Mus musculus: one gene and its partners. The protein of the gene in region 6 interacts with the protein of the main gene of each other region in a pairwise test. Links are inferred from orthologs where the notes say so. Each region holds a gene or a part of one and is shown on either strand. Other genes may lie near its edges. The genes, in order: Snx12, Snx11, Fxr2, Snx15, Spg21, Arl6ip1 and Sucla2.

Region 1 (4,016 bases), on a different chromosome or scaffold from region 6:
AATCCCCTAAGAGGAAAAAAAAGACATTTAGGATCATAGGATTATAGATTTGTACTAGTATTTACTAAAGATATTGTGTTCCTTAAACAGTAGAAACATAATTAGTGAAAATAAAGTGAAAGGAGAAAGAAAACACAAAATTCAAGTCCACATTGAAATGTCCATATGTACAATGACGTGAGGCCACCATTGCACCTCTCCAGACTCCTCAGGCAGGCAGGATCCATTCCTGAATAAAATTAAAGAGAATAGCTTCATCAATATTTATAAAAAGGAGCTGAAGGGGTAGGATCAATGAGGAGTATGTGTTCAGCCTGAATTAAATTTCCAGGACCAGAAAAATAAATACAAATGACAAATGATTTTAGTACCTTTCTAAACACTAGAGTTCAATAAAACAGCCAAAGCCTCCAATCAACTCAAACCCACAAAATAAAGAAGCACCAAGAACTCCAATCAACATTGTATAACTGGAACTGTGGAAGACACTGAGGAAAATGCTGAGTATACGGGTTAGTCCCAGCACTTGGAAATCAGGTGCAGGTGGATCTGAGTTCCAGGAAAGCCTAATCTACAGAGTGAGTTCCAGGACAGCCAGAGCTATACAGAGAAACCCTGTCTCAAAGCAAAACAAAGTCTCAGTGTACATTTTGCATACTAAGTTTTGCAACTAAAGTTTAACAAGGTCGTGGAAAGAGCATGGACTTTGGAGTCAGAGAGTTGGTTTCAAATCCAGAGGTCTTATACATTACATGTACTTGGGGAAATTACAGAAACTGCATGCTTTCCTGATTTCTGTTTTTTAAAAAAGGTATACAAAAAAATAAAACCTAGATGGGCAAAGTGACACATGCCTTTAATCCTAGCATGTGGGAGGCAGAGGTTGGTGGATCTCTGAGTTTGAGGCCAGCCTGATCTACAAAGCAAGTTCCAGGACAGCCAGGGCTACACAGAGAAACTTGGTATCAAAAAAAAATTTTTTTTAAAGAAACTAAAACCTAGTTTGGGCTTGGCCCATAGTAGGGACTAGTTGGATGGTCTCTGTTATCAGAATTCCTAGAGAACTATTTCCTTACTAATCCCTAAGGTTCTTATGCACCTAGACAAGGTGAACAGACCCTAAAGGCACTCTTTACACTGAACAAGTTAGACTTAGGGTCCCTTGAGTAGTCAAGCCTTCCTCCATGATCACCTCTCTTCTATCAGTTTGAAGAAGATAAATCCCATCCTTCTCCAAAGAGAACATTTCAAATAGTCTAGCCTCCATAAAAACAGTTGTGCTTCATGCTGTGATGGCTTTCTGCCCCCTCTCAATTGAGAGGGTGCCATTGCTCCATAAGATTGTCAGGCACAGGTAGAACAAACATTCTTAATTCAATTCATCTTTTTAAAAAAATGAGAACTTCATATGACTCATAGATCTTCAAAGCTATTCAAAAGAGATACTGTTCGAAAAGAATATCCTGCATCTCTAACCTGAGAAGAAAACACAAGTAAAAAAGAAAAAATGGTTCTTAAATTTTTTTAATCTGTACCATTTCAACTGGGCAAAAAAAAAAAAAATACCTGTGAACCATGTACTATATCTTGCACTGTGGACTAAGCACTGTGGAGTAAGAGAATAAAGTCCCCTGGGGTGCAGACTAGAAGAAGCCATTCCTGGAGCCCTTCTGAAATGTCATGTATTAAAGTAACTACAGATTAGGGGAAGACAAGGCAAATGCTGCCTTTCCCATAAACCCTAAGTGAACGCCAATAAAACCTGAAGTCACCATTGTGGATACTTCACATCTAAAGGCTTAGCAGAGGATGGGAGCAGCAGCTGACAATCCCCAATCCCGGTGCAGGGCCGGGTTTCACGTGAGACATGACATTGTGGTACCTAAGAAACTTAAGCATAAAACAGTTCTCTCTTGCAGATGTCAATCTTACACAAGTCAGCAAAGCATTCTGTCTGCAAATTGCTTTTCTACTGCTCCCATAAGCCCACTGTCTCCCTTTCCTTCACTCACTCTTGCCTTGAACTAAAGGTTTTGCTTAACTCCATCATCCCAGAGAGATCTTATTAGGAAGAAGCTGAGCCCTCCTGCCCTCCCCCCTTTAGAATGGCTTCCCATAACCTAGTTTAGTTATAGAACCCAGCGATACATCGCCTTGGCTTTCCATCCCCCAGCCTTCTTCCATCCTCCCCTCCCGTCCTGTCAATCATGTTCTAGTCTACTTGGATTCCTCACTAATCTTTGTCCATCGTCCACACCCTGTCCAGCCATGCCTCACTTCTTCCTTGTAAGTACTTGTTTTCCTTCATCCCCGCCCCAAGTCCCCTCTGGACTTTTCTGTACCCTCGGGCCACAGCTGAGTCTGCAGCCTCCTCTCCAAACCTTCCAAGCCCTAACCCTCACATGACCCCTCCAAGGCGGCCCGCCGTTAGTCGTCCCCATGCCCCCTCCCCTCCTGCTCCGTCCTCCCTCAGCTGTCTCCCTCACCCCGTGACTCACCCGCATGCGAACCTCATAGGTGGTGAAGCGCGCGCGGCCCACGCCCACCGTCTGTGGATTAAAGATGTCTATCTCCAGGAAGTTACTGGGCGGCCCGTAAGCGTCGGTCAGGTCTTGGGGCTTCGAGTTAAGGCGCCTAGTGTCAGCCACTGCGGTGTCCGACATCTTTCCGAAGAAGAGCCCGGTACCGGCGAAGGGGGTGGGGGACAGAGGCCTGAGGCAAGAGCGCGCACAGCCCCTCCCGCTTGCAAAATAACCAGCCAACCCCCAGACGACGGCGGCGCGCACGCGCGCACGCATGCGCGCACGCACACACCGCCCGAGCCTCGGGCCCTTCACTCTGAATAGTTGCCATGCAGACTAGGGCTGGTACTCTATAATGCAAGCGTCATTCAGACTTCCGGGTGGTACTGGTAGCAGCCCCGGAACCTGCATCTCCAATACTCACTGCCCCAGTAGTTTGAGAAGCACCACACGCATGCTCCTCCAATCTGTGTCCCTCAACCCAAGAAATTGGCTCACCCCGTGCATCAATCAAGCAGTGGGCACTGCCCCACAAGCTATTATCCTAAGGTGATAGGCCGAAACCCCAGGTCCTTAAGTCCGGATTTTCCCTGAAAATAGAATGGTTTCTGGAAGGTGGGGTTCCAACAATAATAGAAAAAACGTAGACTGCAGGCTTACTACTTGTGCCACTGATAGTTTCAATTCAAGCTACACGCAAGTGTAAGCAATACATTGTGGTGCCCGGGAATCAGTAAACACGAATTGCGTAAACAATAAAGATTTCATGTTCTCACTTTTCAGGAATAGTGGGTGTATCTTCATGCCCCACATGTTGCTACATAACAACTAATTCCAGGCATATTCATTTCTTAACAAATTTCAGGATCTTTACTTCATAACTTCTGTCTATATGCTGCAGAACCCGCACTTGGCTATGCTGTGAGCTTGTTTGCAACCTCTCATGAAAGTATGTGTCTGCATGAGAACATCTACAGAAGAACATATTTACATACGTGTAAAATGTATTTGCACATGTTATGTACATACTAAGACAAAGTCTTACATTTATCCTAACTGTCCAGGCTTCCCTTGAACTTGTGGCAGTGCTCCTGCCAAGCCCTCTGGGTTTCAGTGTCACCATGGCCAGCTAGGAATTTTTGTGGTTCTTATGTAGTTTTGAGACACTGTCTCATGAACCCCAGGCTGCTTTCAAACTTGCTTTATAGCAGAGAATGACCTTGAAATCGGACCCTTCGGCCTGTCTCTCCCAAATGCTGTTTTGTGCAGTGCTATGGATCAAATCCAGGCTCTACAAAATCAGCTATATCTGTAGTCCTTAAACATACATTTTGGGGGGGGGGAGTTCAAGACAGGGTTTCTCTGTGTAGCCCTGGCTGTCCTGGAACTCACTCTGTAGACCAGGTTGGCCTTGAACTCAGAAATCCACCTGCCTCTGCCTCCCGAGTGCTGGGATTAAAGGTGTGCGTCACCACGCCCGGCTAAACATACATT
Region 2 (4,273 bases), on a different chromosome or scaffold from region 6:
TCACTGTAAAACTTTTGCCCAAGAACTGTGGCTTAACAATCTTGTGGAACAGAGCCTTGAAAAGGAGCCTACCAGCACCCCCTCCTGGTTATTTAGAGACAACCAAGTCCTTACAAATACCAATCTCTCTTCGTCTTGCTAACCAAAGTCACCTCCATACAGGTGGGTGCTCCTAGGGGTGAAGAGGCCAGCTACAGTTTACCACCTTCCCTGACCAGCTAGCTCTCCAGACCTGGAGCCAACCACTACAATCAGTTGCGATCCTGCCATGCCATCCGGTTTGTACCTCTGCCCAAGCACCCCACAGCTTCTCAGGTCAACTCAGGATGCATTCCGCTCCTTTGTAAAGATTCATTAAAGCCTAAGCCACTCATTTCCCCCAGTGTGGTAGTTTATGCGTACAGCGACATCGCCCACTCCAACACGGGGACCATGAAGGCTGGAACACAGGGTTACTGGATTCCAAAGGGGCCCATGATGTCACCTTCTGTTAAAATACAGCACTAATCTTGTTACTCCTAGAGCCGCTCCAACTGCAGCCACCCTGGCTGCCGCCTCCACCCCCTTCCTCTCTCTTAAGAGCAGAACAATAAGGTTTAATTTCCCTTTCCAATTTACCTTGAAATGAAAACTGACTCCAGCCAATATGTACTGCCAACAAATGATGCGGGCTGGCTCCTGGGAAAACAAGGCTCTCTCTAAGCTCTCCCTCTCTCCTCCTCCCATGCCCATCCGCACACCCACTCGTTTTTTACAGTCCCACAATTAATTTTAAACACATTCTCTTATTAGTTCTGCCTTACCATTAGCAGAGTGCATAATGAGCTTCCGTCTATTTTATGTTTTGCTAACATAGGGCTAATGTTTCAAAGGAAGGGAAACTCGTTTACGGCATGAAATTAGCAAAGCAAACAGCTTTTGCAATTCTTCCCAATATCCCAGAAGGTCTCTCTACAGACAGACATGGCATGCGGGGACAAAGCTGCATGGCAGATAACAAAACAGAGCTGAACTGTGGAGCAAACCCGAGGTTTTGTGATTTCAACACCATAATAAACAGCATTCTTGCTGACAGTCTGATTTTTTTCATCCGCAGCAGTCACCACCTCCAAGAGGCCCTAGACTGAAAGGCAGGAAATCTCAATTCCCCAATAACCCAGTCCGACAGTCCAGACGGGTACAGACAAAGATCTGTGACCAAAACCAACAGGCTTTCTGTGAATATTAATTAGCCTGCTGGGATTTCCCCCTCTCTTCTCCTCTTAGGCGCTTGCTAAACTGCCAACGGAAGAACAGAAAGTTAAATATTCTTAAGTGGTTTTGTTGTTGTTGTTGTTGTTTGGTTTGGTTTGTGTTTGTAGTACAACAGAAAAGATGACAAGAAAGAAAGGCATCTATCCACTTAGGGGAGATCACACCACTCTGCCTGGAAAAGTCTGTGAAACTCAAGACTCTAGTTCAGTAACTGTTCATCAGACGTTTGGTATAAAGAGTTTGCTAGGGGCCTGCAGCACCCCCATGTGGAAGTTTTTCTCCTTTGTTTTGGAGCTAATGTCATAGAGAAACAAATAAACTGTCTTTTAAGACATTCCAAGTCTCCTGGGTCTCTGTAGGCTCAAGGCTAAGCGTAAAAGGCACTAAGAAGGTTCTGGTGGTCAATTTCCCCTAAGACACTGAGACTGCAAAAAGCAGACTCCGTTTCCAACAACCACTGCTCTTCATCACTGTCCTTCCCAACGACACCACTCTCAGTCGTTATTCCTGGAGAAACAGCAAGTTCTTAACTTCACCTCCATGACCCGTCCAAAGAGGTGGATCTGTGCATCCATTAAGGAAGGGCAGAGTCAAGTAACCTCGAAAGGTGAGGAAACTTACTCCATGCTAACTACATTCCCGGGGCCTTTTCCATCCCATCTGAAGCGCTCACTGCTTCCCTCGGCAGTACCAGCACCCATAGTCCCGGGAAAGAGCCAAGGGGTTTGGTGTGTACAAAGTTTGACGCATTGTAAAGCTCACAGCTGCTAATTCAGGGGAGCAATTCAAAGCTTTCTCATTTTCTCCGCCTCTTAAAACTACTTCAAGGGACACGTAAAAAACACATCAGGCTGTAAAAAAGATTGCACCAAGGAGTCTCCCGCCCCTCCTTACTCGTTCTTGAGCCTTTGGTGTCAACAGACAGCAATTCTAAAACCTCGCCTTCCTAAATACCCACAGGTGTTCGAGGAAGCTCTTCCGCCTGACAGAAAACCTGTCCCGTCCATCAAGCAGCTGTTCTCATTTTTCAGTCGGTAACCCACTCCTTTCACCTGCAAGTAACAAAGGAAGAGCATAGTTTCCAGTATCTGCGAAAAATATCTGCCATTCCCTTCCACTGCCGGCCACTTGGGTAGACATCCCTAATTCTGACTCCGGCCACTCCTTTCCATTCTTTAGCAAACTCAGATGGAAACCAGCCCAACGGTCCTTCTCTTTTCCCGGCTAAATCGGGACGGAAAGACGATTTTCAAGGTATATTGAAAAGCCAGGCTTCCTTTCTTCTTGGGTCCCAGCAAGCCCTCACTTTCATACCAGGCAGTAAGGCAGCCCCCTCCCTAGTGTGTCAACCGAGGCCATCACTCAAATGCCACCACCACGGCTCAAGCCAGCATCCCATTCCCAAGCAGCACCTACGAGCCGCGGCCACGCCCACGCCCCCTCACCTGAGAGCAGCAGCAGCAGCTCTCCACAGCGACACCACCAGCACCGCACCATATAGTCCGATACCGGCTTCTCCTTCCGGGTGAGTCGCCGGTGCCCCGGTGCACGACGGGAGGCGGCTCCCGACGGGCCAATCCTGAGTGTCCCGGACGCCCCACCCCTGAAGACCAGGGCTCTCAGTGGCGATCGCTGGTCAGAGGAGGCTCTCCATCCCGCCCAGGCCTAAGCTGAAATCCGCATCTTTCCGGAAATCGCTAGGGGGCGCGGGAGGCGGAGCGCAAAGACCGAGACCCCGCAAAGTCCACTCCGGTGCCGTGTCCCGCCCACCGCCATTAGGCGGGCCAATCAGCGCTCAGGGAACGTGTTTGAAGGCCGACGAAAGCATCTTAGGAGCCTAAACGTCTTCAGGGTGTTAAAGAGCAGTAAGTGTGGGAGGTTTCTCGCGTTCCTGAAGCCTTACTAAGATCTAAGATCTCGAAAGTCTGGGTTTGAACCTCAGAGGTTGCAGTTCCCCATCTAAACTGTCAAGGGCACTGCCAGTTTGATTTGGAAAACCCACAGATTATCCCAACAGCAGACGAGAAAGTTGACAACAGTTGTCAAGCCCAAAGAAGGATCATACAGTTAGTAAGCAAGAAAAAGCCGGTGAAAATGCTTACTATAGAAATATCTAAAGTCCGGGCTGGAGAGACGGCTCAGGGGGTAAGAGCACCCGACTGCTCTTCGGAAGGTCCTGAGTTCAAATCCCAGCAACCACGTGGTGGCTCACAACCATCTGTAATGAGATCTGATGCCCTGTTCTGGAGTGTCTGAGGACAGCTACAGTGTACTTACATGTAATAAATAAATACATCTTTTTTAAAAAGACAAAAAAAAATATCTTAAAGTCCTCTTAAGCCAATGGAAGTGGCTCACGCCCAGAATCCTAACACTTGGCCATTAAAGACATATAGTGAGCTCTAGGATACGGAGTAAGGCTGTTGGAAAACACAAACGAAAAGCCTCCTTGATCTGTTAAAAAGTTAATTTTAGGGCTGGTGAGATGGCTCAGTTGGTAAGAGCACCCGACTGCTCTTCCAAAGGTCTGAAGTTCAAATCCCAGCAACCACATGGTGGCTCACAACCATCTGTAATGAGATCTGACTCCCTCTTCTGGAGTGTTTGAAGACAGCTACAGTGTACTTACATATAATAAAAATAAATAAGTCTTTAAAAAAAAAGTTAATTTTACCTCTGTAACCCCAGCACTTGGAAGTAGAGGCAGGAACTGAAGGCCAACGCCAACTATATAGTGAGTTTCAGGCTAGCTTGGGCTACCTAAGACCCTGCCTCAAAAACAGCAAGACAGGAGTTGGCAAAATGGCTTCAGAAGATGAGTTCAGGACCCCCAAATTCACACAGTTCACACATTCCTGCAACTCCCACTTCAATGGATCCGAGGCATACACACATCAAAAATAAATATTTTTATTTTTTGTAGCTGTTTTGCCTATAAATAGGTTGTGTACCATGTGTCTACCTGAAACCCTACGAGGCCAGATGAGGGCCTTAGATCTCCTGGCACTGGAGTTAGAAG
Region 3 (3,500 bases), on a different chromosome or scaffold from region 6:
GCTAAATACTGATAGGAGTCATATGACAATAAGGAGCAAGAAGAGAGATATACATTTGTTTCATTTTCAAATATTTATAGCAGGTAGAGAGGTAGTGGCACAAGCCTTTAATCCCAGAACTCAGGAGGCAGAGGCAGGTGGATTTCTGAGTTCGAGGCCAGCCTGGTCTACAGCAGACAGTCTCAAAAAAAAAAAAAAAAAAAAAAAAAAAAAAACCCACGTATTTATTTATGTACATCTCTCTGTGTGTGAACATGTTATATGAACATAGGTGCATAGACCAAAAGAGGGTGTCAGGTGCCCTGGAACTGGAGTTATTGGTGGTTGTGAGATACACGGAGAAGGGAGAGACAGGAACCCCCAGAGCTGGCTGGCTAGCCAAAGTTGGCTAGCTCTGGGTTAGGTGAAGATAAGCCGCCTTGTAAAGTGTATCATGATTAAGAGATATCGGATACCAACACTTAAGGGTTTCCAACCCAGACGTGCACCTATATACATGCAAATATATACACACACAGATCCAAATATATCCAAGGGCTGGGGTACAACAGCTAAATGGCAAGGCACTTGTCTAGAGCACATAGGTGTGTGAAAATCATGGTTTAATTTCTAGCATAGGAAAAAAAGAAGAGAAGGAATAAATTAAAGTCATACATAAGGACAATTAAGGAAAGGAAAGGCTACCTGGTCCAGAAGTATCAGAAGGAATAAAGTAAGCATGAACATAGTCGAGCATGAGCAAAAGCCATATATCCACTTTTCTAAAAGTTTAAGCAGTAAAAAAGGAAAAACTGTTGAGTAGGCTTGTTAAATTCAAGCATGAAACTCACCAGAATAAAGAGCTCACTGTTTGTGATGTTGAGAAAGATGCAGTTGGCTCCCAGTGCTTTCTTGAACTCCTTATGGACATTTTCATTGGAGCAGCTGCAGAAAAAAGTAACATGCTCAGGAAAGGGGGCACAAGAAGCCCGGGAACAAGCGGGGAGGAGAAAACCAGAGAGGTAGAACCCCTGCTAAAAAAACAGGGCTTAAGAAAATCATTTTGTAAAATAATTACAGCAAGGCACAGTGGCACACGGTTTTAGTCCCAGCACTTGGAGGCACAGGCAGGAGGAGCTCTGTGACTGCAAAGCAAGTCTGGTTTACAGTTTTAGGTCAACCATAGCTGTGTAGTGAGGCCATCTCAAAACCAACAAAACACAGACAGACAGGAAAAGAGAGAGTGAACGATGAAAAATGGGAGGGTTATGGGCATAGCATGTAAAAAGGTCCTCACAGGCCAGAGGATGAACAGGGCAGAGTGAAGAGTGGAAGACCTGGAGAAACGAGGACAGAGCTGGCACTGTGGAAGTCTCTAATCCCCAACCTCTCCAACACTTACGCCTCCCTGAGGTCCTCAGGCACAGCCATGGTAACCTTGAAGAAGCTGCCTTTGGTTGCAAGGGGACTGGGATTGACTGGCCGAAGTCGTTCCAGAGTGACAATCTCATTGTAGGTAGCATCACAGGCAGCGTACTCAATGACATAGAACTGGCAGAAAAGAGAAAGAATGTATATTACCTTTTCAGGAACAAAAGAACAGTCTCAGGAATTCCCCAAAGGGCTTCAGTCACTCACATCTCCCTTCATCATCCGCACCCGGGCCAGCCACCAGCCACAAGGTTCCTGTTCATTGGCTCTCGAATAGACCTGAAAGAGGAGAAATAAAGAGAAATGGCATTGAAGACTATCCAAAAATATCAAGAATTGGAGAAAGCATCCAAATACCCAAGCATTCGTAAACCCACAAGAGGAAACAAGGAGATACCAACTCAAAGTATGGGGTCCCTGAGTTTTATTTATTTCACTTTTTTTTTGCTCAGTGGGCAAGAGTTCTCCAAGCCCAACGACCTGAGTTCAAGTCCCAGAGCTCACAGGTCATGACCACCACTCCTAAGCTGTGGAACACTCATGCCCCTCAAACACACACACACACACACACACACTACTTCACACTAAGGAAAAAAGATAAAGAGATGGAGGTCTTGAGCTGGAGAGATGGCTCAGAGGTTAAGAGCACTGACTGCTCTTCCAAAGGTCCTGAGTTCAGTTCCCAGCAACCACATGGTGGTTCACAACCATCTGTAATGGGATCTGATGCCCTTTTCTGGTGTGTCTGAAGACAGTGACACTGTACTCACATACATAAATAAATCTTAAAAGAGAGAAAGAGAGAGATGGAAGTCTCACTATATTGACCAGAACAATCAAAAACTCTTGGGCTTAAGTGAGTCTCCTCCCTCAGCCTCCAAGTACTGAAACTGGGGTTGCAGATACATTTCAGTGGTAGAATGCGTGCCTTACATGCCCAAGGCCTGGGTTTCAATCCCCAGGAACCAAACCCCCCACCCCTTGTACACACACGTACATATATATTGGAACTGTAGGAGTTAGGCTTTAAGTGCATTTGTGACAAATGAAGAAGCAGATCCTTTAAAGCTGGTGCCCCCAGGTCACAGCCACGATAGAAAGGCACTGCTACATTACTCACTGACTACATGGCTAGACACGGTGGCTCAGAAAAGGAAAGAACACAATCAGTAAGTAAAAAACCAAGGTTCCTAATAAAGCAAACATTGGAAAGGTGGACCTCACAGTCCTTACCTCTACTTCATCTCCTTCTGTGATTTCCTTATTGTAGTCAGCTGGAGGCGGTAGTCGGACATCCCCAAAGGGAATCTGTCTCTCACTCTGCCAGCTATAGGACAAACAGTGACATGAAAGCTATTCAGATTGATGTTATTGTCCACCTCTTCACAAGGGGGTTACTCCCTTAGACCACTTTTTTTTTTTTCCATTTTTTTCCTGTTTTTTTTCTTTTTTTTTGGTTTTCTGAGACAGGGTTTCTCTGTGTAGCTCTGGCTGTCCTGGAACTCACTCTGTAGACCAGGCTGGCCTCAAACTCAGAAATCCGCCTGACTCTGCCTCCCAATTGCTGGGATTAAAGGCATGCGCCACCACTGCTCTGCTTCTTTCTGTTTTTTAATTAGATGTTTTCTTTCTTTATTTGATGTTATCTCCTTTCCTAGTTTCCCCTCCAAAAATCCTCTATCCCCACCCCACCCCCAGCCAGACCACTTTTATTCTTCCTGGTAAAGAGTCAAAACACCAAGCCGGGCATGGTGGCGCACGCCTTTAATCCCAGTACTCGGGAGGCAGAGGCAGGCAGATTTCTGAGTTCGAGGCCAGCCTGGTCTACAGAGTGAGTTCCAGGACAGCCAGGATTACACAGAGAAACCCTGTCTCGAGAAAAAAAAAAAAAAAAAGTCAAAACACCAGATCCTGTTCCATAGTGGTCTTTTATCCTTGCTACCAACTATCAAGTGACCAAAACTTGCACCAAGCTATCTGCTCTTCTTTTCTTAGAATTTCCATCTAAACCCTCAGCTCTCTGCCATCTATTACAGGCCTCACAGACCTCAGCAGTCTCTCCTCTCACCCTCCTTTAGGGCCTAGTGATA
Region 4 (4,124 bases), on a different chromosome or scaffold from region 6:
CAGAAAATAAAGTAAAAATAAATAAATCATTTAAAAAAAATGAGAGTCTGTCCCAGGATCCAGTTCTTCTTAAGAGAGGAGCTACGGGCTGGTGAAAGGTCCGGAGTTCAAATCCCAGCAACCACATGGTGGCTCACAACCATCCGTAGCAAGATCTGATGCCCTCTTCTGGAGTGTCTGAAGACAGCTACAGTGTACTTACATATAATAAATAAATAAATCTTTAAAAAAAAAAAGAGAGGAGCTACAATGTCTCATACCCATGAAGACAGAGTTAGCAGTGGGGTTGGGCACTCTGGAAGAACAGAATTGGCCCGAGACAGAAGTAACACTTAGTTTTTGCTATTATGCTTATGGGAGTTTTACAGTAAGGTTGTACAGTTTAGAATCAACAGTTTTCAAAACATCCTTTCCATTTTTTTTTTCTAGATCTCAGCAAACCAGACATGATTAAGATGCCCATTTAAAATCTAAGGATGGGGACAGGAGGGGTGGCTCGGTAGTTAAGAGCATGACCTGATCTTCCAAGCACTACATTCAGTGCCCAGAACAGTACCCACATTATGTGGCTCATAATCGTTTGTAATTCTGGCTCCAGGGGATCAGATCTGATGCACCTTCCTCTGACCTCAACAGGCATCCACACGCAGTTGTGCTACACATTCACACAGACACGTACATCAGCCAGAAACAAGGAGAGATGATTCAGCAGGTAAAAGCACTCGCTGCTGTAGCCAAGGACCTGGGTTTGGTTCCCAGCACTGAGATGGCAGATAGAAATAATTTCTAAGTCCAATTCCAGGAGATTCAAGACCTCTTTTGACCTTTGATCTCACCAGGCTTGTATTTGGTACATAAACATACATACAGGCAAAATATTCATACATATAAAATTAAATAAATCTGGAGCTGGATCGATGGCTCAGGTTAAGAGCACTGGCTGCTTTCTAGAGGACAGAAGTTCTATTCCCAGCACCAACGTGAGGGCACACAAGCGCTTGTAATTCCAATCAATAGGGATCTACCACCCTCTTCTGGCCTCCTTTGGTATTGCATGGAGAGTGCACAGATGTTTTTGTTTTTTAAAAAAACAACTACGTTTTAAATCTTTAAGTAAATAAGCCAGGAGGGGTAGTACACATTTTTAATCCCTAGGGATGCTGCACTGGGGAGGCAGAGGCAAATGGATCTCTGTTTGAGCCTGGTCTACAACACAAGTCCCAGGACAACCAGGGCTACAGGGAAAAAACATGCCTCGAAATAAATAAAGAAAAAAATTAAGTAAATAAATCTATAAAATAAAAAAAGGATCATCTTGTAGGGTGCTGTGGCAAGAGAGAGACATGGAGAGAGAGAGAGAGAGAATGAGAGAGAGAGAGAATGAGAATGAGAGAGAGAGAGAGAGTTCTCTAAAATGTGGGAGGCCATGAGTTCAACCCTAGCACTGGAAAAAAAAAACAACTCTATGCATGTGTAAGGCATGTGACTAGATCTAAAAGGCTAACAGGAAGACATAAGGGTTCTGAATGCCTTGTCATCCTTTCTACCCTCCGGCATCTTCCTAGAGACAATTATTATATTTGTATTTTTTGGCATGAAAAAGTAAACCCCCGGAACACTCTTGACGTATCTAAGACTCTGACTTAGATTGCTTTGGGAGCGACTTGTATGTGTTTGCTTCCTTTTAACAGTCGACAAGCCACTAATCAAACAGTTGCCAAGTTGAAAAAAATTTAAGTACAAGAAAATATATAGTCAGTCTTTCCGCAGCAACCCGGTTTCTCCCATTGGAGACCTCCATAGTTACCTTGGGTAAAATTCTAAAAGCATTCTTTCATGCTGATGTTTCTACGAGCTCATTCTAAGTTTTATTGTTACAAACACCAATTTCAGCTTATTGACTTCCTTATCTGTTAAGACCAGTCTTTTTTTTTTTTTGCGTGAGTTTTTAAAACCACACAAATTATATATATATAATATATAAATAGTATAATAAAATTATATGTGTATATGTGTATATACACACACACATACATTTAAACTTTTAAAGAGCTTTTTTTATAGTTGGTCCTGGTGGTGCACGCCTTTAATCATAGCACTTGGGAGGCAGATGCAGGAGGGTCTCGGTGACTTCCGGGCCAGTCTAGTTTACATCGTGAGTTCGCAAAAGCCAGGGCTGTCTCAAAAAAAGAAAAGATAGATAAATAAAAAGGTGGTGGTGGGGCTTTTACGGATCAAGCAGGGAAAATTACCAAAAGTTACTCTAAGCGATTAGAGAAGGAATATTTAGGTTAATCCGGAGTTTTCTTGCTTTGAGAAATTCGTAGACCGCATCTAGACATCACCAACAACAGAGAGGGGGTACCGGGCCAAGCGCAGAGCCAAGCTCCACAGACTTTAAAAAATGACCCTTAGCCCCGCCCCAGGAGGTGAGGCGCCTTAAATCTTCTGTCTCAGGCGCCTCTTAAAGGGGAAATCTATTTGTGTAGGCCAAACCGCGACCTCCTTGAAGCTCTTTGCCTTTAAGGTACAGCACGGATCCGGAGCTGCTTAAAAGGGTAATGCTCCCCCGCTGGGTCCCACCTCACCTGAGCGGTTACTTTGTACTCTGTGTAACCCTTGGGGTGGGTCCTAGGGTCCGAGACTGTGTAGTGTCGCAGGAAGTCATCCTTCGCTTGGCGCGACATGACAGCGGAGCCGGTCGCCGGCTCCTCCTCCTGCACGTCGCCCCCGCTCCCCGCGTGTTGAGCCTACTGCCACTGCCAGGATCCGGCCTGCGCCCTTCTTCAGGCCCAGGGACCTAGTCGCAAGTGACACAACCGTTCTTGGCTTGGGGGCGTGGCTAAGGGAGTGTCTGACAAGTTCTAGGTCATTGGTAAAGCGGAGTTCTAGGTAGAGACTAAGGATTGGTTGTTTGGGAGAGGATTTACCAGCTGGCATCCTGGCATGTGATTGAACCCACTTCCCCCTAACGTAAACCCTCCTTACAGACCTCCGAAACGTTTCTTTATTTATCTTCTTTACACTCATCCAGCCTCTTATTTATGAATTATTTTAAGCTAAGATCTCTGCTGTGTTGACCAACTTCTGGGCTTAAAATATTCTCCTACCTAAGCCTCCTGAGTATCTGGAACTTCAGGTGCTTGGCATAGGGTCTAACCCATGCAACTTTTATTGTGTTCAAAATGTGCCTAGCAGAGCCAAGTTCCCTGCCTCCCTGTGCGGATTGGGGGGTGGGGGGAACGACACACACTGACATTTTCTGATGCTGAAAAAACTGGATAGTGACAGAGGCTCTGAAATCACAACACTTACACGTATTTGAATTCCCCTTAACTGCTTCAAATTTGGGGAGGTTGGACGTTGAGATGATCTCATGTAGCCCAGTTTGGCCTCAGACTCTCTATGTAGTTGAGGCTGGCCTTGGATTTCTGACCCTCCAATTTCCATCTCCCAAATGCTGAAATCCTTGGTAAGCATTACATTTCCCTCTTGTAACTGCATGCATCTAGTTTTTCATCTATGGAAAGTGGTACCTGACACAGTATCTTCTGTAACAGATCAGATCAAGAGGCATGCTGGCACAACACAGGGATAGCGAAAACCCAACACCAATTGATCAAGGCCAAATTGGTGTGGAAGATTATCACTAAACATAGATTGCAGCACATCCCACCACTACCAGAAATCCCATCTTCAAATAGGAAAGAGTGGATAAAAGAACCATTAAGGGTTGGAGAGATGGCTCAGCGGTTGTGAGCACTGACTGCTCTTCCAAAGGTTCTGAGTTCAAGTCCCAGCAACCACATGGTGGCTCACAGCCATTCATAATGAGGTATGACGCCCTCTTCTGGGGTGTCTGAAGACAGCTACAGTGTGCTGTAAATATAATACATGTAAATATGTAAATATAATAAATAAATAAATCATTAAAAAAAAGAACCATTAAAAAATCTGAGGTGAGATGGCTCAGCAGTTAAGAGCACTGACTGCTCTTCCAAAGGTCCTGAGTTCAAATCCCAGCACCCACATGGTGGCTCACAACCATCTGTAATGAGATCTGACTCCCTTTTCTGGGGTGTCTGAAGACAGCAACAGTGTACTTACATATAATAAATAAATAG
Region 5 (3,500 bases), on a different chromosome or scaffold from region 6:
TTGGCAAAGCTCTGTTGAGCAGGTCCTGCCACCTACATGCAAATAGTTCTTGGGGTTATTTTCTCCTGGAACTGTGAAAAGGGGTCCCTGAAATCTCCAGGAGCAGGAGCTATCAGCAGGGTAAACGGCATTAGGCGTGCAGGTTCTCAGCAAGTCCATTCCCCATGCTGATGGTATGTGGAGTCTTGCAGGATTTTATATTTATATGTATTAATATTTTTACTTTCACCTTTTTTTTTGATAGTTCTCACTAAACTCAGACATCTGCCAGCTTCTTTCTCCCAAGTACTGGTATTAAAGGCTCATTTCATTATGCCCAGCTAATAAACCACTTACACATAAAATGAATAAGTCTAATTACAAAAAGACATGAGGCTTTGTCCCTTCTTCTCTCCAAGGGCGATCTGATGAGGATCTTTGCCCCTTCTTTTAAGGCAATCTAACTGGGAATTGAATTTTGTCTTGTGTGAGCCCTGTCTGCACCCAACTCAGGGCTGTTGTTACCTATCTCGGTGACTTCAGGTTGTTCAGCTGGACTTTGGTGCTGAGCATGTGGGATAGGTAGGCAATCTTGTCCCTGAAGGGAAATAGGCACTTCAGCGTGAGTTCCAGGACAGCCAGGGCTACACAGAGAAACCCTGCCTCAAAAAACCAAAAAAGAAAAAGAAACTGTGCTTGGGGCAGAATTCTAGAATAGCATTCTGAAGGTTACAAAAGAATGCCACTGCCTTTCCCAAGACTGTCATCAGGAGAGTAGCCTGTAAAGTGTTTGATGTTGTTGCTGTTGTTGTTTGGGGTTTTTTTGCTCTCGCTACCTAATATTTCAGTTCTGAACAAATAGTACTGGTACCCAGCAGGAAATCGTCATTGTTGGCTGTCAGATTTACCCAGGACTCATATGGGGCCGTTTGTAGAGTGCTGTAAGTTCCTTGCATCTTTCTGTATCTGCGAACCTCCCAGTCTTTTTCCTGTCCCTGTACCTTCACATTAGAACTCTCTATTCTGCTGTTCCTTTGCCTCGGGCATCTTAGTATTTGGAGAGACCCTTTTCCTCCAGTCTAAGGCAGCAGCCAGCAAGGAGGCATCCTGTGTCTGCCTCCCTCCTCCTGCAGTTGCTCTGTATTGTTAAACATCATAAGTGTTACATCACGTCCCCCAGAACAGGTTTGTACGAAACGCTCCCTCCATCCTTTATAGATTTCTCTTATTCTGCTTTTGGGGTGAGAGAGGATGTCACGTGTCTGGAGGCAGAGATTGGCCGCCAATATCTTCCTCTATCACTGTCTGTCTCACATAGAGGCAGAGGCTAGAATAGCTATTCTAGCTCGCCATCTTGCTCTGGGAATTCCCTGCCCTGCCCTCCTACACGCTCCCTGCACTCAGGCACTACAAATGTGAACTCCAGCCCTGTGCTTGTGGAGCAAGCACTTTACCCTGTGACCCATCTTCCCAGCCCTGTTTTGCGTCTGCCTGGCCCAACTGCCCAGCTTCCTTGATCTCGGTTTCTTCTTGTGAGTTTTCTTTCACAAGCTTTCTGTTATTGGTCTGGTGTTTCTTTGCCTTTCATGTACCGTTTGGAGCAATCTAACCGTTCTACTTTAGGACAAAATATTTATTATCCCAAACAAACTGTTTTTAACTTTCCACACTATGAAATGTCTTCATACTTGTACCTTTCCTTGCATTTCTTTCATGTTTCCTGCTTCCTTCCTTGAAATACAGATCATCAGGCCATGTGTGCTGGTGCATGCCTTCAGTTGTGAAGCAAGAGTCAAGGTCAGCCAGGCTATATAGTCTCAAAACAAAACAGTAACAACAAAATGACATTTTAAAATAAACTTTACAGAAATACCTAAATTTAGACAATGTTTTCAGTAAAATGTATTTTATGATTTTATAATGTTTTCATCAGAATGCAGCTCAACTCCTTTTTGTAGTCTTTGTTTATGTAGAATTTCATGCTAATTCCAATCCTAACTCTTAGTGACCTCACTTTTGGATTAAGGTCAAGAATTAAGCAACCCTAAACTCTTTCTCTACATACACACAGTTTAGGAAAAGTTGTTTATTAACAGATCCAAACATATTTTTACCTTTCCTAATAGATTCAAGATATGCCACTGCTAAGATTTACCCCGCTCTTGTAAACCTAAAGACCTCTAGTTTAATGATCAGTTCCATTTTATTTAAGCTTTCATTTATCTGTAAGCCAACTTGAAGAATTCTTGGGATTTTTTTTCTTTTTTAGTCATCCTCTCCCTATGCCCTCCTTCCCCCCCACACACCCCACACACCCTCTGGTTTCAGACTCACACTGGTTGTTGGGCTCAGAAGAGAGTTCTGCCTTCCTCTGGATTCCAGGAGTCCTGCTGTGTGGAGCTTCAGTGATGACCTCACTCTCCATGTCTGTGTCAGTCACGGGCCTCTCCCCTTGTTTTGCAGCTTCTGGTTGATGCCAGCGTTTATGCTCAAGAAAATCGTTTTGGGGAACTTTTCCTCTGGCCCAGTAGACCCGATGATGGCTGATGCCATTGATTTCATGGTGGACAGGGTAAGGATCATGACCATCCTTGAACACTTTCCCTGGGATTTTCTGTGCACATGCAAAAGGAGGTCCATCATCTATGGGTGTGTCGGGGAGGTCTTTGTGGAGCAGTGCTGTGTTAACTGTAGTACTTCAGTCAGACCCTACTGCTAGTGAGGCCCCTAGCTCCCTCAGTGCTTCCCAGTAACTGCTGCACATTCAAATCCAACAGGACCTTAGGAGAGTAATGCTTGCCGGGGCCTAAATTCAGTAACCTGGCACTTGGGAGGCAGAGGCAGACAGATCTCTGTGAGCTCAAGGCCAGCCTGGTCTATGAAGTGAGTTCCAGGACAGCCAGGGCTACACAGAAAAACCTGTCAAAAAAAAAAAAAAAAAAAGAAAAGAAAAAGAAAAGAGCTAATTAATGAATTATTTTAAGAGGCTACAGAGATAACTTAGTGGTTACGAACACTGTTGTTCTAGAAGATGTGAGTTTAGTTCTCAGTGTCACCTGTGGTAGTCACTGAGGGCACCATCTTATAAACTGGAGAGAAGGTTAAGGGCATGAACTGCCCTTCCAGAAGACTCAAATTGGGTTCCCTGAACCCATGTCAAGCAGCTTACAACTACCTGAAATTCCACTTCAGAGAATCCATCACCGTCAGCTGGCCTCACAGGCACCTGCAATATAAGTGTAAAATTAAATTTGTATTTAAAAGTAATTTTCTTTTCAGCCTGGCTATGGTAATTATGCCTGTGACCTCAGTGGTTGGGAGGCTGAAGCAGAAGGGTCTCCATCTTGAGGCCAGCCTAGATGTACAGCAAGACTGCCTACAAGGACAGCGGCTTCCAAGGCCTCACACTAGACGGTGCATCTGGCTCCTCTAGGGTGGGGAGGGGTTTGGCTTTTTGAGAGGAGGTATCTTGTGGCCTCAGCCTTCACCTCCTGAGTGTTGGGTTGCGGGCCTGTGCCGCC
Region 6 (4,183 bases):
TCGAACTCAGAAATCTGCCTGCCTCTGCCTCCCCAGTGCTGGGATTAAAGGCGTGCGCCACCACGCCCAGCTGGGTCCTCAAAATTTACTAGAAGGAATATAATAAAGCAAGAGTGCTGAAACACAAGAGTTTGCGTGTCCGGGATTTACTCAACTGCATCAAGTTACAACTTTACATAAGGACTACAAATCTAGAAAGAGGGCAAGCTGCTTGCAATAAAGGCATTCCTTTTGGATTATGTATTACAAAAGCTTCTCTAAGCACAGGCTATGAACCCTCTGAGCATTAGCAATAGAATCTCACTTACAGGAACAGCAGGGAAACCACACCCATGATGGCAGGTGGAAACCAGGCTCTTTCCCATCGAAGGACTTTGTCAGCCATCAGCATCACCTCTCCCCAGCCTTGCAGCTGCTCTTCAAGACTTGCAGTCTCCACGGCCTACACATGATCAACAGTTAAGACTGTTACTTTGCCAATCTCAACACTTTGGTGGCTCAGAGAGTACTTTCTCAGGCATCAAAAACACGTAAAATGCCTTTTACAAAACTGTTATCTTAAACAAGGTGAGTCATGAAAACCTGCAATTTTGGCACCAAATATGAAAATCCATGGGTAGGAAAAAGCCTAGGCTTTAATGGTCATTTTAGCACTGGGCCATATGTCCATGATGTATAATAATATTCCCAAGATTTCACAATTTATTTCAATATTCATGAAAGTGAGCTTAATATGGGAAACTAATATCCCCAAATGCAGCCACAGAGCCAAGAGGCAGTGCTCAGAATATTACTAGATTGAATATTCTGTTTGCCCATTTCAGGTGGTTGGCATTGATCTGTCGATTGGCCGTTTTATTGATTGAAGTCCTTCTAAATCCATCAGGAGAACCTTTCCCTTAACACTAAGTACATAAATCTCTAAAATAGCTTTGTATAATGGAATGACTCTGATGTTGGCAGTCACTGTGGAATTAAAGAAAACTCTTTCAACCAAACTATGTGAGCTCAGCACTTAATGGCTCCTCATCATTAATGATAGAATTTCAATTAAATCTCAAAATTTTTCTGCATATGTGACAACTAGCCAAAAGCACACCTTTACCATGGGCTACTGTGACCTGAACCTATCAGGGACTTTGGTAACGGAAGGTATTTAGAACCTGTTTGTGCAGAACTCTGGATTCAACATCCAGGAACTACATACACACAATGCCCAACTGACACTATCAACTCTTCACAAAGGAATATGCAAATATAGAACAGTTCAGGCTAATTTTAATAAAGATGAGATATGTGACTAAGTACTTTTGACATCTCCCCATACTAGAAATCCTAAACATTTTACATGTTATACTTCAATTGACGCTCCAAAAAAACTGGAAAAGGTATTCTCACAACCTCTACTTTAAGATAAGGCGACTGAGACATAAAGGGGTTAATATATTTAAATCCAGGAAATCCAAGACTAATGGACTTGCTCTCCTTAAAATGATGGAAATAGTAGTGATCAGGCCCTCTCCCATGATAGTTTCCTTGTACAGCAATTAATCCTCTTATTGAATTGTTTGCTGGTATTGTGTAGGAGGAGTTTAAGGGTACAGGGTAAGCATCTCTATTGTATGGTACTGTGTGTGTGTGTGTGTGTGTGTGTGTGTGTGTAGGGAATTTAAGGATACAGGGAATGCACCTCTAAACACAAATACAAACTGAAAATCTTGCACTAATCAAAACTGTCCCGAAGAATCTTGTCGGCACTTAGCAGTTAAAAAGGCAGGCATTAAAAGCTGATTGCTTTTTTCATTTCTGATATGGCCTGCCTTTTCTGGGGAATGACAATACAGAAAAAAAAAAAAAAAGATCTTTCGTTCTTGCCTAGGTGGGTGATGCAGTTAAAAATTTGAAACTAGCAGGGCCTGGTGATGCGCAACTGTAATCCCAGCACAGGAGGATGACAAATACAAGGCTAGCCTCGTCAAGCTACACGAAAACCTAGCCTTAAAAACCAAAAACAAAGACCTAACCAAAAACAAAGACCTGTAATGAAGCAAACGCGCCCTCTTCTAATACCATCATCTCGTGTAGCTCCGTCAAATCCGTGCTAAATCATTTTTAAAGTTGCATCCAGTCCCGTGAGTCCCTCGCCAGTTCCCAGACAAGTGCCAGGATCCCCCACTGTCCTTTCCGCAGAACCCGTTTTCAGCTTCCTGCGGTGAACTCCAACCAGCCAGCTCCAACAAATTCTGTGTCAGCGATAAACTAATTCTCTGTAGCAGCCCTTTGACCCTCCACCCTTGCGCCAAGTTTTAGGAGAAAAAGAATCATGATTAAAAATAATCTACGGAACATGAGATTAAGATCAAAGGGCAAAACAGGTAGGTCTCCGGCCTGAGCCGGAGCGCTAGACAAGGCCCCTGGCGGCCGAGTGCCCCAACCTGTTACCCAGGTTCCTTCTTGCCACAGCCCCCTTCTCACACTTCCTCACGCACGGCCCAAGCCTTATGGTGCAGGATTCCGGGGGACGTTGGGGATCGCCAGCAGCGACCTCCACCGTGGAGATAAGGCCTGGCTGTCCCTGGTAGTCCACCGAGGCCAGGAGGCCCATCCGGAAACTCCGGGGACAGACTGACCACCGCAACTCACCAGCAGGTTGCTGCTGCGGTTATCCCCCTCCGCCATCGTTCCAGACTCGCGGTTATCAACGAGCGAACACACACTATCCCCCCAACACCAGCAAGGCAACCCGAGCGCGGGGGAACGCCCCGCAGTCTGCTTATATAGGCTAGCTGCCTTTCCCGACAGCCCTCGCGAAACTCGCTCCTCATTGGGTAGACCGCACTCCGGCTTCTGGGAAGTCGGGCCAACCGGCAGCTAGCGCATGACTTGAAATCCAGGTCAAAGGAGAGCGAAACTGAAAGACTCTGACCAATCAGAGTGCAGGGGTGTGGCCCTCGAGAGGCGGAGCGGAAGGAAGCGGTTCAACCGCCGTACCTAGTCTCTCACCCAGATCTTCCTAAATCCTGGGGCCTCTCTAGTCCCTAGCTCTTCTGCTGGAAATCAAAACCGCTCAGGCGCCTGTCCGCTCAGCTGCGCAGGGGATGCGCAATGGCATCCTATGCGGAGGCTGGAAGGGCAAGGACGCTTTAGGTTGCTGTGGCACCTGCTGACTGAAGTATTGGCTGCCCCAAGTGAGCGCTGTCTGTGCCTTCTCCCCAGCTCTGGCCTTTGGAGAACATGGAAGATGCACAAACTCTTAAAGGGCTTCATTTGCAGCCAGTTTTTGGGGGAATCATTTGCGGGGTGCTTCACTTGATAATCTATGAGTACTTCAGGTAGCTAGGGGAGCGCTTCATTCGGAGGGATGGATGAGTAGAGGAGCAATTCGGATGTTGGAGGGCTTCAGACTGATAGATTAATGGATGTATGGGGAAGCCAGGCTAAATACGACCTTCAACTAATTTTAAATTATTTTTAAAAACACTTCGTTCCTTAATTCCCAGGTTCTTTAAAGGCCTTGGAGGTTAAAGAGAAATGTGAGAGATCACATAGTGCTCCTAAATATGCCTGGTCCCTTCCTGGCCTATGGTGGCTCTGTCAAAGGGGCATACAATTTGTCATAGAACTTGTGGAAAGTACTAGAAGGTACAGACAACAGTTTTGACCAGGAAGGACGCTCATTGTGTGTGGGCGGGGCGGGGGGGGGATATTATGACTTCGGTTGATACAGAAATCATGTCAAAAATTGTAAAGCCTGGAATTCCCTCCTTCTCCTCAGTATTGAGAACAAAAGGACCCAAACAGCTGCTACCAAGCAATGAGGTGCCCATCTTGGTGGTACCAGGAGCAGTCACTTTGCTAAGAGAGGGCAGAGTAATAAGTTTTTCCTTGGCAACTTGGCTACTGCCCCAGAAAGCTTAGTTTAGTCGGTGTTCCCAAAGTAAAATTTAAGTTTAGGCCAGTCCCAGGTCCCAATCCAGCTCTCACTAACCTTCCAAATGGCTCAGAGGTTACAAACACCTCTTTTTCTACCACAAAGTGACCTTTTGAAATGTGTCAGAAGATGAAGCTCGTAACACAAATCTTCCTCAGAACTTTGGCACTGCAAATGAAGAAGATCTTTGCAAATACTCTTCTTCTTTCAGAGCTTTCACTCACAATTAAGGCTCTGCAGTTTTGTTTTAAA
Region 7 (2,930 bases), on a different chromosome or scaffold from region 6:
AAGCATCAACAGCTTCCGTGTGCTGCCTGGGCACTGCTTGTTTTGACTCTTCTCCCAAGCACGCGCACCTGCTGGAGGTGCCGTACCCGAGGGATTTGCATGCACTGGAGTCACGGCTTGCCTGGTCCAGGAGGCCAGAAAGCCTATCCCCGAAGTCACCCATGCAAACACACTTAAAATGTGTTATATTCTCCATAGGAAGTACAGTAGTGCACAGGACTCTACCCTAACTATAAATCTGAGATTTCATGTGTTCAGGGATTTTTAAGAAAGCAGCCCACAGGGCATCCCCACCTCATACCCCCAGAGTCAAAGGTACAAATATGCAGGTGAAAGAAATAACAGTATGTAGCAGACAGTAGATCTGCAAACAAGACTTCTAAAGCTTTAGAATATGTACTGCCATGTCCAGTTGTATGATCTATAAACCGGATCCTTAGACCAATTAATAAAATGAACACCTGTTACTTCAAAAGAAAAAAAAAACCCATAACTCCAAATTACATTAGGAAACTTTTATTGACTTAAGCTGGCATTCTAGTTTTGTCCAAGTCTTAATAGGTGCCTTTCTTATCAATCTGCGTGTGTTTTTACCACCACAGAATCATGACGACTTGCACTTATCATTGTCCTGTAATAATTAAAATGATGTTCAAATAATCAGCAAGTTACTTCTCTAAAATACTTAAAAGATGTTCTGAGGAGTGCTTCCAAGTTCTATGTATAAATAATGATTGATACATTTAAGAGCCATTTGATGCTGAAGATAAATATTTCTTATATAAAACATTGTTATAACATACCATTGTCCTAATGAGGCTGTTATTAGATATATTTTTATACTAAAGAATAAAGCTTTATCTTTGTAGTAATTTTATTTATAGAACTCTTATCAATGAAGAACTCTGTATCCAACACCAGAAAGCAGGCATACTGCAAGTGACATTCTGTAGAGGAAGCAAAAAAAGATGGCTGCAAGAAAAGAGACCACCGTAAGTTTATATCAGACATTCTTTATATAAACAGTCCATTCTCAGCAGCAGAATCAGATGCAGAGCAAATGCTTTCAAAGGTATGTGTGCCTATGTGGTGATTACATTCTCCACACATTAAAAGAAAAGGGACACTAGGAGAGACCACAGTATAATAAAGAATTACAGCACATTAATACCCGTAGCCATCCACCAAGGTCTTGCTCATATTGGCAATTGAAACTTCACATCCACATGGGCTTCTTTGGCTAAGGTCACTATTTCAGAGAGCTTTACAACCTGAAAGAGAGAACAGGGCATATCTGTATGTTCATAAAAAGGTGAACCATTATAAACCAAGGCAAAAGACAGAATCGTTTCCATTTAAAATAGTAGGGCTATTCTGACATTGTTACAAGTTACACTATAGTCTAGTAAGAACTGACACAAGACTGTCAAGTTTGACATTCTCCATAACCTATAATTCAATTAAATATGCCCTGATAAAAATATATAACTAGATGTATTACCTAAATTTTACCTTGAGGACACAAACAAGGAGTATCCTTTCAAGACAGCCCATAATTCAGAGCATAACTAAAGCTTACCTGGAAAAAGCTTACAAGCTTAATCTGGTATTGGGGTAGGAGTTTAGATATAAGAACTGCTGGTGTGGGCTGGAGAGATGGCTCAGCAGTTAAGAGCACTGACTGCTCTTCCAAGAGGTCCTGAGTTCGGTTCCCAGAAACCACATAGTGGCTCACAGCCATCTGTAATGGGATCTGATGCCTTCTTCTGGTGTGTCTGAAGACAGCTACAGTGTACTCATATACATAAAAACTGCTGGCGTAAGGCAATCTTTTGCGAGGAAACCAACAAAAACCAACAAAAACTCCAATGCTCTGTATGATATGAGAATACCTATCTGTTTCCATACAAAATGTCATACAAATTAGACATGTCTACAAACAAAATTCAGCTCCACTCTAAGAGTAGTTACAAAAAAAAAAAAAGAAAGAAAGTAGTATGGGGTTAGAGGTATATGACTTTAAATGAGTGAATTTAGATAGCCTATTTCTTCATATATGACTTTAAATGAGTGAATTTAGATAGCCTATTTCTTCATCTATACACATGGAAACTTTACCACCAGGAGGATCCTTGCAGGGTGTGAAGGGGAAGTATTATCAAACAGTCAAGGCTACCGACTGAACTTCCAGTTTAGGAGAGAATACAGAGGACAGAGCATGCTAAGCAGATGATGGTTACACTCGTTAAACCCAGACTGAAACTGTACAGGACCATAACATAGTACTGGTCCAACAAACCAGGAGGGCTATAGCTTAAGAAACATAGCTGCATATTACCCAACTGCAGTGCATACAGTTTGACACCAAGCTTAACAAAGAACCTAGATGGTACAAAATAATAGTTGAACTTTCACAATCAGAACGCCAGTATTCCACTAAAATAATAGTAATTTCTTTACATCATCATACTAATTCACTTCATATATATGATTGAGAAGTATAAAATGCTGCACATGGGGGTGTATACGAGTTTCTGAAAAAGAATCTGTAAGTTCTCACTGCCTCCAAACACTTCTGCACTGCCCAGTCTGAATGTCCCCTTAGTTGCATTGTTTTTAATTTCCCACCTGCCAACTAGCCATCTGGATCCTTGAATACAAAGTCCTGCTTTTCCTTGTTGTATGAGGCTGAGTACAATTTTTATCCCCCACTGCAAACCCCATCCTAACAGTATTCGTATCTATTGCTGTCACTCCCCAGAATTCAGCCTGCTTTCCTGAAGTACTAATATTACTACTTGGCTGGCTCATTTTAGAATCTAAAGCTATCTAGATCCTTTCCACACTATAAATGCCTTGGCTCATTAGAGCCCACTTACCATTTTAGCAGCTTCATCCAAATCATCACAAGCAAGGATTTTAAGACCACT

Evidence for each region.
Region 1: the proteins of Arl6ip1 (region 6) and Snx12 interact in binary tests that used the Homo sapiens proteins (3 or more experiments, as listed by UniProt). The two-hybrid records come from large-scale screens. The link is inferred for Mus musculus from reciprocal best matches to the Homo sapiens genes ARL6IP1 and SNX12.
Region 2: the proteins of Arl6ip1 (region 6) and Snx11 interact in binary tests that used the Homo sapiens proteins (3 or more experiments, as listed by UniProt). The two-hybrid records come from large-scale screens. The link is inferred for Mus musculus from reciprocal best matches to the Homo sapiens genes ARL6IP1 and SNX11.
Region 3: the proteins of Arl6ip1 (region 6) and Fxr2 interact in binary tests that used the Homo sapiens proteins (3 or more experiments, as listed by UniProt). The two-hybrid records come from large-scale screens. The link is inferred for Mus musculus from reciprocal best matches to the Homo sapiens genes ARL6IP1 and FXR2.
Region 4: the proteins of Arl6ip1 (region 6) and Snx15 interact in binary tests that used the Homo sapiens proteins (3 or more experiments, as listed by UniProt). The two-hybrid records come from large-scale screens. The link is inferred for Mus musculus from reciprocal best matches to the Homo sapiens genes ARL6IP1 and SNX15.
Region 5: the proteins of Arl6ip1 (region 6) and Spg21 interact in binary tests that used the Homo sapiens proteins (3 or more experiments, as listed by UniProt). The two-hybrid records come from large-scale screens. The link is inferred for Mus musculus from reciprocal best matches to the Homo sapiens genes ARL6IP1 and SPG21.
Region 7: the proteins of Arl6ip1 (region 6) and Sucla2 interact in binary tests that used the Homo sapiens proteins (3 or more experiments, as listed by UniProt). The two-hybrid records come from large-scale screens. The link is inferred for Mus musculus from reciprocal best matches to the Homo sapiens genes ARL6IP1 and SUCLA2.

Annotation. Positions count from the first base shown.
Region 1 is NC_000086.7:101,219,764-101,223,779, forward strand, and holds the start of Snx12 (sorting nexin-12), read right to left. Parts: upstream 2,801-4,016; 5' UTR 2,799-2,800; coding exon of another isoform or gene 2,664-2,798; coding exon 2,499-2,663; intron 1-2,498. UniProt on the Homo sapiens protein: May be involved in several stages of intracellular trafficking.
Region 2 is NC_000077.6:96,774,756-96,779,028, forward strand, and holds the start of Snx11 (sorting nexin-11), read right to left. Parts: upstream 2,801-4,273; 5' UTR 2,700-2,800; intron 2,307-2,699; 5' UTR 2,213-2,306; exon of another isoform or gene 2,149-2,212; intron 679-2,148; exon of another isoform or gene 619-678; intron 1-618. UniProt on the Homo sapiens protein: Phosphoinositide-binding protein involved in protein sorting and membrane trafficking in endosomes. Regulates the levels of TRPV3 by promoting its trafficking from the cell membrane to lysosome for degradation.
Region 3 is NC_000077.6:69,639,471-69,642,970, reverse strand, and holds part of Fxr2 (fragile X mental retardation syndrome-related protein 2), read right to left. Parts: intron 2,738-3,500; coding exon 2,644-2,737; intron 1,690-2,643; coding exon 1,618-1,689; intron 1,531-1,617; coding exon 1,382-1,530; intron 925-1,381; coding exon 831-924; intron 1-830. UniProt on the Homo sapiens protein: mRNA-binding protein that acts as a regulator of mRNAs translation and/or stability, and which is required for adult hippocampal neurogenesis. Specifically binds to AU-rich elements (AREs) in the 3'-UTR of target mRNAs.
Region 4 is NC_000085.6:6,125,461-6,129,584, forward strand, and holds the start of Snx15 (sorting nexin-15), read right to left. Parts: upstream 2,801-4,124; 5' UTR 2,688-2,800; coding exon 2,589-2,687; intron 1-2,588. UniProt on the Homo sapiens protein: May be involved in several stages of intracellular trafficking. Overexpression of SNX15 disrupts the normal trafficking of proteins from the plasma membrane to recycling endosomes or the TGN.
Region 5 is NC_000075.6:65,477,937-65,481,436, forward strand, and holds part of Spg21 (maspardin), read left to right. Parts: intron 1-2,442; coding exon 2,443-2,551; intron 2,552-3,500. UniProt on the Homo sapiens protein: May play a role as a negative regulatory factor in CD4-dependent T-cell activation.
Region 6 is NC_000073.6:118,126,826-118,131,008, forward strand, and holds the start of Arl6ip1 (ADP-ribosylation factor-like protein 6-interacting protein 1), read right to left. Parts: upstream 2,801-4,183; 5' UTR 2,680-2,800; coding exon 2,644-2,679; intron 443-2,643; coding exon 309-442; intron 1-308. UniProt on the Homo sapiens protein: Positively regulates SLC1A1/EAAC1-mediated glutamate transport by increasing its affinity for glutamate in a PKC activity-dependent manner.
Region 7 is NC_000080.6:73,593,715-73,596,644, reverse strand, and holds the end of Sucla2 (succinate--CoA ligase [ADP-forming] subunit beta, mitochondrial isoform 1 precursor), read right to left. Parts: coding exon 2,880-2,930; intron 1,272-2,879; coding exon 1,197-1,271; 3' UTR 501-1,196; downstream 1-500. UniProt on the Homo sapiens protein: ATP-specific succinyl-CoA synthetase functions in the citric acid cycle (TCA), coupling the hydrolysis of succinyl-CoA to the synthesis of ATP and thus represents the only step of substrate-level phosphorylation in the TCA.